Cricetulus griseus: one gene and its partners. The protein of the gene in region 1 interacts with the protein of each later gene in a biochemical or structural test. Links are inferred from orthologs where the notes say so. Each region holds a gene or a part of one and is shown in the gene's direction. Other genes may lie near its edges. The genes, in order: Bad, Ywhaz and Pak1.

What was found.
Region 2: the proteins of Bad (region 1) and Ywhaz form a complex in vitro, tested with the Homo sapiens proteins (3 studies listed by BioGRID). The link is inferred for Cricetulus griseus from reciprocal best matches to the Homo sapiens genes BAD and YWHAZ.
Region 3: of the proteins of Bad (region 1) and Pak1, one has a biochemical effect on the other in vitro, tested with the Homo sapiens proteins (3 studies listed by BioGRID). The link is inferred for Cricetulus griseus from reciprocal best matches to the Homo sapiens genes BAD and PAK1.

What each region holds. Positions count from the first base shown.
Region 1 is NC_048596.1:52,504,802-52,508,448, reverse strand, and holds the end of Bad (bcl2-associated agonist of cell death), read left to right. Parts: intron 1-2,049; coding exon 2,050-2,240; intron 2,241-2,604; coding exon 2,605-2,730; 3' UTR 2,731-3,176; downstream 3,177-3,647. UniProt on the Homo sapiens protein: Promotes cell death. Successfully competes for the binding to Bcl-X(L), Bcl-2 and Bcl-W, thereby affecting the level of heterodimerization of these proteins with BAX. Can reverse the death repressor activity of Bcl-X(L), but not that of Bcl-2.
Region 2 is NC_048603.1:14,723,548-14,727,294, forward strand, and holds the start of Ywhaz (14-3-3 protein zeta/delta), read left to right. Parts: upstream 1-1,360; 5' UTR 1,361-1,500; intron 1,501-3,747.
Region 3 is NC_048596.1:101,611,197-101,614,843, reverse strand, and holds part of Pak1 (serine/threonine-protein kinase PAK 1), read left to right. Parts: intron 1-600; coding exon 601-718; intron 719-3,260; coding exon 3,261-3,360; intron 3,361-3,647. UniProt on the Homo sapiens protein: Protein kinase involved in intracellular signaling pathways downstream of integrins and receptor-type kinases that plays an important role in cytoskeleton dynamics, in cell adhesion, migration, proliferation, apoptosis, mitosis, and in vesicle-mediated transport processes.

The sequences.
Region 1 (3,647 bases):
TGCATGTATCCTTGCAGGCCAGAAGAGGGCACCAGATTTCATAACAGATGGTTGTGAGCCACCGTGTGGTTGCTGGGAATTGAACTCAGGACCTCTGGAAGAGCAGTCAGTGCTCTTAACCTCTGAGCCATCTCTCCAGCCCCTAAGCAAGGATTTAACCCTGCTCATGAAAGCAGATTTGTTGGGAGAAGGAGCACATGTGCCATAGTGCCCAAGTGCTGTTGCAGGTCAGAGGACAGTATGTGGAGGTCATTTTCTTTTTCTCTTTTTTTGTTTGTTTTGTTTTTCGAGACTGGGTTTCTCTGTATTGCTTTGGAGCCTGTCCTGGCACTCTGAATACCAGGCTGGCTTTGAACTCACAGAGATCCACCTGCCTCTGCCTCCCTAGTGCTGGGATTTAAGGCATGTGCCATCAACGCCTGGCTGTGGAGGTCGTTTTCTCCTTCCCACTTTAAATAGATTCCAAGGTTCCCACTCAGGTCTTCAGGCTTATACTGGAAGCTTTACTGGCTGAGCAGTCTCACCAGCCCTTAGTGAAGGGGGTGGTGATGTCACTGAGCTCCCACCAAGGCCACCTGAAAGTCATTCACCTTCCTGCCAGCATAGCACCTGAAAGCTGTGGTTCTAGGGCGTGGGTCCATTATTCAATGCAGATAGGGTGTACCACCAGGAGACTCAGGCATATTCCTTTCAGCTTCTGGCTCTCTTCTCTGTAAGGTGGGAGAACTCTACATCTGCCATACAGGAGCCAAAAAACCATGGCTGCTCACAGGACAAGGTGGAGTGCTTTCCTGCCTTATCTGTTCTCATGATGATTCTGTGAGGCAGGCTGTCCCCATGCCACAAAGACCACTGAGGTGCCAGGGAATTGGGGAAGTGGGTTCACGGTCACAAAAGGGGACCTACCTAGCTGCTGAGTAGTCCCCTGTAATACTCTGTAGATGAGCAATGGTATGTTCTGGCCAGGTGCTGTGAGCAGTCCCAGGCCAGGCCTTTCATGATGGTTCCGTCCTTCCCTCTGGCTTTCTGTTACATGTCTGCAGCTGGGATCCTCAGGCCTCAAGCTGAGCTGCAGAGTTCTGCCCATTGACCTTTGAGAAAGGGAGGCAAACTTTTCAGCCCCCAAACCTGGGGGTGATTTTACCTCCTCCCAAGTTTTCCCTGCAGACACCTGGGTGTGGGCAGCAGGCTGTGCCTAGCTATGGACTCTGCCCCTGGGAGTAGTTCTGGGTCTTCACTGGTCTGGGCAAAGGGGTACAGATGACAGAGGTCAGGACACAGTATCTAGATCAGAGAAGCAGATCACTCAATTCATTGGCAGCTCACAGGGCATGGCTACACTTGCATGAGAACTTCACACTGGTGCATTAGTATGCAGGGTAGGAAGACTCCTTCATGAAGGGAAACTAACTTGGAATTGAAGGGTGGCTGGTCAAGGCAGGAGTTGCACAGCCTGATGATGGACTCTGGGATCCAAACCCAGGGACTTCGGACCTCAGGGCTAGCAGCCTTGTCAACCTGAGAAAACTGACTTCTCTGAACACCTGTGTAGCTATTATCTCCCTCCCATCCCCCCATTTGTGAGAAAAGAAAGACTACATGTTCTCCTGTAGTAGAATGTGGCCTTGAACTCAACCTCCGGCTTCCACCTCACCAGTGCTGGTATTATAAATATGAACCACCACGCCCAGGACAAACTTCTATGTCGATCTGTAGAACCAGGTGGTGAGGATAGTCTCAGAAAAATAAAACAAAACAAAGAAACCCACAGTTCTAGACATTGTCGCCACAAAATATGGAATGTAGAGACTTCTTGTTCTCCAAGACCCTTGCAAAGACTAAGCAGGACTCCTCCCTAGTTAGGAGTTGCTATGTGATAGTTATCTCTTATGCCCCTATTTTGGAAAGGCACAGTAGAAAGTCTTTTGTACACTAAAGGCGTACTGGCACTCTGAGCTCCCTCCATTTGCAAAGGAGGAATTGGGACTATTGGAAGGCGAGTGTGAACAGCGGGTCGAGATTCACACCTCTTCCACCCCATCCCTGCAGGCACTGGGGCTATGGAGATCCGGAGTCGCCACAGTTCATACACCGCGGGGAACGAGGAGGATGACGGGATGGAGGAGGAGCTCAGCCCATTTCGCGGCCGCTCACGTTCGGCTCCCCCTAATCTCTGGGCTGCGCAGCGCTACGGCCGCGAGCTCCGAAGGATGAGCGATGAGTTTGAGGGTTCCTTCAAGGTGAGCGCCTGCGTAGGGTGCGACGGGACCTACACCCGCTTGCCCCGTCTGCTATCTATGGCGTTTCGGGATTTGTAGTTCCAGAACCACCAGGTTGTCCCTTTCGTGTTCCAGGGCATGCCGGGACTTGCAGTTCTAATCCGCCCCCTGTCGTGAAACCTCTGGCTCTGAGGTTTCACTTAGGGTCCCAGCAGTCTCTGGGCTCCAACCAATCCCGATTCCTGAGAGCCCTCTCATCTAATAGCGTGTCTGACCTCCAAGTGTAGGTGGCAGTGATCTTTATATTCCAACTCAATGTGGGGAGTTGATTCGGGACCACAGGGCGAGGCTCATTCATTTAACTCTTTACTCTCCTTCCCCGAAGGGACTTCCTCGCCCAAAGAGCGCAGGAACTGCAACACAGATGCGACAAAGCGCCAGCTGGACGCGCATTATCCAGTCCTGGTGGGATCGAAACTTGGGCAAAGGAGGCTCCGCCCCCTCTCAGTGATCTTCTGCTCCACATTCCCGGAACTCTACCCGCTCCCGTCGCCCGCCATATTGGGTGTGGGCGGAAGTTTTCCGAAGCCGTGGGGATAAAAAGGGGGTCGCTGTGTCCCTTTAACTGGGAGAACTGGCCAACGGCTAGACTCCCTTCCGGTGCGTGCAATAGCCACGAAGGGGTGGTTCTCGTTGGAAGTTTAAAAGTTTCCGCCTCCCCCACCCCAACTTCCGGAAGTGGCAACTTTTCCCTCTCTCCAGTACCAGGCTGGCGCCTGCGCTACCCCAACTTCCGGAAGCGGCAACTTTTCCCCCTTTCCCGTACCGGGCTGCCCTCCTGCGCCAAATTGCGAGCCGGGTTACATCGTGACTTGGCTGCAGCCCTATTATGTGAACTGGGAGCTCGTGGTCGCAACAAACGTGCTTTATAATAAAGCCCGCGCCTGTGCTACCGCATCTTCCGTCCTTCGTTTGGGGTTCCGCAAACCGGACTATTTCTGATAACTTTAAGCGACTCCTTTTACCCGTAAGGGAAACAGGCTCCGTCCAAGGACTGAGATCAAGAAGTCGAGGTGGCCAGCGGAGCCCGGCTGCTAGGCTTAGTGGTGAGGGAGCGGATCCTGGCCAGACCCCTGGGACCGCCAGGCCCTTATCTCTAATATGGTAATTGGGAGCTGCAGGCCAGCCGGCCGCCGGAATTCAGCGCTCTACAAACCATGCTGCGGCTCCCCCGGGGCGGGGGGTGGGGGGTCATTTGCTCCTATTTGGGTCAGTCCTTGTGAGCAGCTACTGTGTGACCGGCCTGGGGCCTGTGCTGCTCAGGGACCTGGCGGGGCACGCTGGGCGGGGCGACACAATCACTAGGGAACGGAGAAGCTTCTCATGGGGACCTGGAGCGGGGCCCAGAGCTCAGTTCAGAGATTTATT
Region 2 (3,747 bases), on another chromosome or scaffold:
CTTTTGAAGTGTTAGTCACCTACGAAGTGAGTCACTCCCTGCAAGAGTCTCCATGAGAGCCTGCATCGGTTTGCTCATCTATCTGTTTTAGCGGTGCTGTGGATCTGTGGATGTGCAGACTCGGGGTGGGTGGGTCAGGGGAAAGCGATCACAGGCAACTCTCGAGCTACCTATCTGCCATTTCAGGGAAATGATCATTTGTAGAGCAAGCTTATGACCAGACCATGTATCCGACAGACAGACACTGAGTTGGGGGAAGAACAGCTTGTCGTGGAATCTTCTGGAGAGCTATGGGCTGAATACTTTTTCCCCCCTTTTCTTTTTTCCAGCCAGCAGGAGCTGGGTAAAGGCGTTTGCTTCAACTCAGGACGCACGTTTAAAGGACGCAAGGGCACACGCTTCACGCTGAGAATGCTTCTCCCTCCGCTTCCGTCTGCTGGGTGGAGACCTTGCGGGTGCAGGCACCTGCAATTTCCGCCCTCTTCCTACCCCCTCTTCCGGGCCCAGGCGCTCCCGCCCCTGCTCGGGCGAGCGGCCCCCCTCCCACTGTCAGATGGGGGGCCCCGAGAGCGAGCAGCCAGTATCCCCAAGGTGGCTCCCAGGACCTAAAAGGCTCTTTGAGAGCGTTAAGTGGAGACAACGAGCCTCCCCGTCAAAGCCCGGCTGTGTGTGTGTGTGGGGGGGGGGGGGCAACAGTGCAGCGCCCGGAGATCGGCTCGCTGTGTGAGCCTGTGTCCCCCCAGCTCGCACAAGCCCTTCCCCTCTCCTCCCGGAGACCCCCCATTGTCTCCCTGGCTGTCACGGTCTGTGCGGGGCGACAGGAGGGACAGCGGGCGGCTCGCCCGAGCCTTAAAAGGTCTAAGGCCGCTTTACTGCAGCGGTGGGCGAGCGGGCGAGCTAGCAAGCGGCCACGCCCGCTGCCGCCCCGCAACCGGGGCTCTGATCACAATGCCCCGGCCGCAGAGCCCGCCGTCATTACCGGGGCGGCCGGGAGGGGGAGGGGCGGGTGGGGGGGGGGGAAGACGCGAAAGGTCCCGGATGTGCCCGCCAGTAGAGGTGTAGGGGGGAGGGAGCGGCTTCCTTCCGCGGGCCGCAGGGGCGGCGCGGGAGGGAGGAGGGAAGGAGGAAGGAGGGCGGCTCGCGGGGGCGGCGGGGGCGAGCCGAGCGCGCGGGAGGAGGAGGAGGAGGAGGCAGGGTCGGGGACGCGCTCTCCCTGAGCTCGCCTCGGGCGGGCAAGCGAGCGGGTGGGCGGGGCGGGCGCGCGCCGGGGGAGCGGCGGTTGCGCCGGGCACCAATCAACGGTTGCCATAGCAGCGTTTGACGTCATTGTGCGTGTGGTGCCCCTGCTGCCGGGGCTAGTGATTGGAGGAAACCCCGTGTCTGCGGAGCCGCTGTAGCCTGTGAGCAGCCAGATCAGGGACAGAGTCTCAGCCTCGCCGCCGCCGCCGCCCAGGGACACTGCCGACCGGGTCCGTGTGCCGCCACCCACTCCGGACACAGGTGAGCAGCCTCCCGGGCTGGCCCCTCCGCCGCTCGCCCGCCCCGCCGCGGCGGGCGTCCCCAAGGATCCTGGACCCGGGCGGCGGCTCGTCCCGCCGAGCCCCGGGCGAGCGCCCACGGCCGCCCCCGGGCCGCTTGCTGCTGGCCCTGCCGGGGTGCTGGTCGCCCCGTCCGCCCGTGTCCCGTGTCCCCGGGGGTGGGGGTGGCGGAGGAGGCGCCCACGCGCGAGACCCTCCCGGGTTTGGGGGGGGTAGGGCTGAAGCTCGGGCGAGCGGGCGAGCGCCATCCGCCCCCGCCGGCACCCGCTTCCGCCGCGGCTGGGACCGGGGCCGTGGCGCAGGTGAGGCGGCCCCCACCCCGCCGTGGCGCCCCCGCCGCCCCTCCCCCGCCGCGCGGGCAGCCAGGTAGCGCGCGCGCGAGAGAGAGCGAGTCTCCGGGGTGGGGCCGGCTCGCCCTCCCGCTTGCCCTCCCGCCGGGGACCCGGGGCTGAGCTTCCTGGGTCCCTCTCGGTGGCTCACTCGCTCGCACGCTCGCACACTCGGTGGGTGGGTGGGTGGTTGGGGGAGGGGCTCGGCCTGGGCGCCCCGGGGACGCAGGGGGGTCTCCGGCCGGGTGGGAGGTGAGCATCCTTCGGGGAGAGCGGGGGCTGCGCCGGTCTGGGTGGGGCCCGGCCCCTCCCATCCCCCTCCTCCTCCTCCGCAGCTGTCGGGGGCGGGAGGGGGGACCCCGGGAGGGAGAGAGCGGGGTGTGTCCGGTGCGGGTCGGCCGCCGTCGGTTCCGCTCGTGCGGGCGCCGCTGGCTGGCATCGGGGGGCCCCCTCCGGGTAGGGCGAGCCGCTCGCCGCCGCCTCCTCCCCCCCACCTCCACCACCCCACCCCACCCGACCCGACCGCTCCTCCCTCTCGGCTCGGCGGTGCTCGGGTTGGGTTGGGCTCCTTGACACAGTTCCGCCATGACAAAGAGAGAGAGAGGGCGAGCGAGCGAGCCGGGGACCGGCGGAGGCGCCAGCCTGGGCGGAGCCAAGAAGGGGAGGTGGCTGCGGGCGGCGCGGACGCGAGCGAGGACTGGCGCTGGCTTTAAAAAGTCTGGGGCGCGGTTTCGGCTCGCCCCCGCTCGCCCGCCCGCCCGCCCCGGGCAGGCGAGGGTTAAGTGGGTGCGGCGAGGGCTCCCGCAGTGTAGATGCTGGTTCTTCGTGTGCTTCCCGCGGGGAACCGGGCGGCTGAGGTCGGCGGGGGTGGGGCCGCCGGGGCCGCGCTGACATCACTTCCCAGGGCCGTTTCTGGTGTGAGGTTTCCAGACCGCAAAGGGTTAACTCGGCCTAGCCAGGCCCCGGCGCTTGTTTCAGTTGAGGATGCTTCTCATTGATTTAACGCCCCCTCCCTCCCCACACCACACCACCCCTCCCCACCCCCCAAAAAAGCGATTTCTGGAAAGGTTAAAGGAAAGGGTGCGATGGTGGCCTTGGGTGGTGGCGGTGCATTGGGCAGTGACTGTCATGGAAATTCATTTCCTGGGATCCCTGTGGTTGAGAACCGTGCTCTTGACCCCGTTCAAGGAAAGAAAAAAAAAAAAAGTTGATCAGAAATAAATTGGGATCTAGGGAACTTGAACTGCAAAGGAGATTGGCGGAGAAGACGTTAGGGCCGACTTAATAAATGGTGACTTGGAGAAAAGCCATGCAGGGGGAGTCTGCACCTAAACTGCAGTGTGACATCGCAGGGGGCGCCTGCGCTTGGGTTGGCCCTGAGTGCTCGCTCCCTGCTGCGCAAAGTGTGCATGTAACTCCATGTAGATGGGTCTGTCTGGTCTCGGGGCGAGTGATCCCTAGTGGTTTTATATTCAGGGTATCCTAAGCATCAGTCAGTCAGTTTCCTCAGATAGTTTTCATCCAGGAAGTGTAGCAGATCGGGCTGGAGAAAGTGCTAGGTAAAAGGTAATCCACTCGGGGTCAGAGTGCACACACTGAAGGTTAGCTGGCCTGACTCACGGTTCTGCGAGTGGAGTGCTCTTCATGGACCTTCTAGGTCCGGATCTGGAGTGTTCTCCCCAACGCACTCACGCACACACACACTCACACACACTCACACTCACACTCACACTCACACTTACCCTCTCACTGTAGGGAAAGGTGGTGAAGTGTAGGTCACTCTGCATTGGGATTAAGTTGAGCTTTTTAAGAAAACAAGTGTGTTGGAATACACAGCAAGGGACAGCAGGCTGAGCGATGACAGGTCTGTGTCACAGCTT
Region 3 (3,647 bases), about 49 Mb from region 1:
AGCTTTTAAAGACTTATCGACACACTTTCACTTAATATATATTATAGTAATATATATTTAACATACATATTATTTTACTCATGGATTTATTCAGTAAGTGTTGGTATCTATTGTGTTGGACCCTGGGTCTAGGGTCTTGAACTAGACCTTGTAGATCTCAGATCTAGTAGAACTCTCAAGGAGGTCCTATGATCCTCCCTTTTGATGGTAATATGGCTTCCAGATCCCATCCCTATAACATGTACTGCCTGTATGCTTTTACAGGTATGAGAACAATGCTAGTCTTTCTAGTTTTAGGAGGTATCCCTTGCTATTTCAATAAAATGTAATTTTATATTTCAACCTAGTATTCTAATTTTAGTGTTTGGGACTTCACAGACCATGTATGTTTTGTTTTTTCCAGGTCTATCCCTAAGTGATTTAAAATTACTGATTATGTCCTCCAAATTTTGTACTTTTCTCAGAGTAAAGAACCCTAGACTCTTCAAAAGCTGACTGAGATATTTTCCTTTCTATCCTAGTCCCTTGGTTTTGAAATCCACTGCAATGCCTTAATGTGTTCTAACTATTCCTTCTTGCCCTATACTTGTTTTCCTGTAGTTACCTTGTGGGAGATGAGTTATGGGTTGTCATGGAATACTTGGCTGGAGGCTCTTTGACAGATGTGGTGACAGAAACCTGTATGGATGAAGGCCAGATAGCAGCTGTGTGCCGAGAGGTAAGGCCAAGGGTAAAACAGGAAGTGACCTCTATATTACCGTCCATGAATGTTCACACCCAAAAGAGGCTTCAGTCTGGGTTCTGTGGAACTGGGAGAAGTTAGTTCTGGCACTTACCATTCATACTATATTATTGTATTTTATAATTTCTATAATCATGATATTTTTCTCTAAAGCTAACATTCCAACCATGATAGAAAAATTAAAAGGTACCCAGAAGTATATACTAAAGCAGTCATTTATTCTTTAAATCTGTAATTACAGCTATTCTAACACATAATATTTCTCTTAATCTCTTTTACATACATTTGGACATACATTTGAACCATTTTTTCCTGCCTCCCTGCTTTGTGTACTGTGAAAGAAATAACGCTGGTAAGAAGGTAGTGTCATACTTCAGATAGGTAGTCAGAGAAAGTTCCACCCTTGATTTGAATATGCTTCTGAATGACATGTAGAGGCAAGCCAGCAAAATTCTAGGAAAAATTGACTCCAGGCGAAAACCGATATGGTGGCATATGCCTTTAATTCCAGCACTTGGGAGGCAGAGGCTGGCAGATTTCTATGAGTTCAGCCCAACCTATAAAGTGAGTTCCAGTACAGCCAGAGCTGTTACACAGAGAAACCTTGTCTCAAAAACAAACAAATAAATAAATGATGATTCCCCAGAAGCCCCCCCATAACATTCTTCCTATGAAATTTTAATACTACAGATACAATGGATAATTGTGTACATATAGCTGCCCTTTGGAGGTTCAAAAATCATTACATTATTTAACTTGTTTTCACCTCTACCCTTGAGATGAAAGCCTGGTGACCTGAGTTCAATCCTTGGAACCCATATGAAGGAGGGAGAGATACAACTTCTCAACATTGTACTTTGACCTCCAGATGTGCTCTGTGGCACACATACACCTCACTCCAAGTAAAAATAAATAAAATAAATAACATCTTGACACAAGCCCTGAGTTTGCTCCCCAGAACTGTACCAACAAAAAACTTGGCAAGAAAGTATAAATGTTATTTAAATAAGTACTATTGTTATTCTTAAACTATGATGGATATCGTTACCACTTTTGAAACAGCTTATTGAGATACATTCATATGCCATATACTTCATCCCCATGAAGCATATAATTCACCATTTTCAGTGTATTTGTGAAGTGACTATTAAAGGGTATGGATTTTTTTCTTTTAAACAATTGGTTTCTTGAGAGTATAGATCAGAGAAACCCTATCTCGAAAAAAACAAACAAAAAAAAAAAAGAAAGAAAAAAGAAAAAGAAAAGAGAAGAAAGAAAACAATTTCTTTGCACTTTGCATTTGTGTATATGTGTATGTGTGCATGCATGTATGTGGATGTGTACATGCCATAGTGTACATGTGGAGGTCAAAGGACAACTCCAGCTTGTAGATTCCAGGAATCTAGTTTAGGTTATAAAGCTTGGTGGCACACTCCTTTACCCTCTAAGCCATCTTACTTGCCCAGAACCAGACATTTTCATTGTACCATTTGTCACTCATTCTGTTGGGTAAATAAGTGTTTAAGCTCGTGTGTATGTGTTGGGGAATCATCACAATAGGTGCTTTGTCTTGTTCCTTTTCTTTCTTCCTTTTTTTTTTTTAAGATTTTTCTCATAACCTTTACTTGTTATAATCATTTCTAAACCTTAAAAAAAATCTATTTGTAGCCCGGCAGCCCGGCAGTGGTAGTGCATGTCTTTAATCCCAGCACTTAGGAGGCAGAGACAGGTGGATCTCCGTGAGTTCAAGGCCAGCCCTGTCTACTGAGCAAGTTACAGGACAGCTTCCAAAGCTTTGGAAACCCTGTCTTGAAAAACCAAAAAGAAATAAAAGTCTATTTGAGCTGGTAGTGTGGGTCAGTGAGAGAGTGTATGCTTGGTATTTATGAGGCCATATTTCACTTCTCAGTGCTGAAAAAAAATCTGTCTCTGTAAATTATTTGTAAATATCAGTCTCTGTATAGAACTTAAGATAAATTCAGGTGCCCACTGAACATTTGTCTTCATGTTTCATAGGGTTGTCAAATTCATTGTGTCCAAAATAATACAGACTTCCTTTCCCCAAACTGTCTACAAACATCACTTCCATGTGTCTCCTTTCCTAGACATGCAAATATAATGATAGAAAAGACGAAGCCAGCATGCAGTTTTAAATTAAAATTTAAGTTGTGTGTGTTGTGTGTTGGGTGGAGGGTTAAGTGCACATGTATGTGAATGCCCAAGGAGGCCAAAGGCATAGGATACCCTCAGGTTGGAGTGACAGACAGTTGTAAGCTGCCTAGTGTAGTCACTGAGCCATCTCTTCAACCTTCTCCACCCACACCCTGCCCCATAATGTTTTAAAAGAATATTTTGTTGGGAGAGAGAAGATTTGGTTATATAGCTGGCTCTGCCTCTTTATGTGGGGCAGGTCTGACTCTTCCTGGGAGCCTTACTTCCTTTATCTTAAAATGAGAAGGTTAGATTATTGTTAGTCTTCTGATTATATGTTTCTTCTTCTTGCACACTACTTCAACAGTGTCTACAAGCTTTGGAATTCCTACATTCGAACCAAGTCATTCACAGAGATATCAAGAGTGACAACATTCTGCTGGGAATGGATGGCTCTGTCAAGTTAAGTAAGTATGAGTCTTAGGAATGATAACGCTCCTATATGTGGGTCTGTGTCTTTGGTGAGATGGTAATTAAATAATAGTAACTGTAACATTCACCAAAGAGACCTTGTTATTTCATAAGGTATTATGGGATATTTATATTTGTCTTTATTATCTTACAGCATTTTTTTCACTATTTTTCAATTCTTTTACACATTAAAACACTGAATGCCTACTTCTGTTGTTCTCTCATAGACTCTGAGGGTACATTTTACCAGCCTTCAAATATCTTTTAGCTTCATATGAGAGAC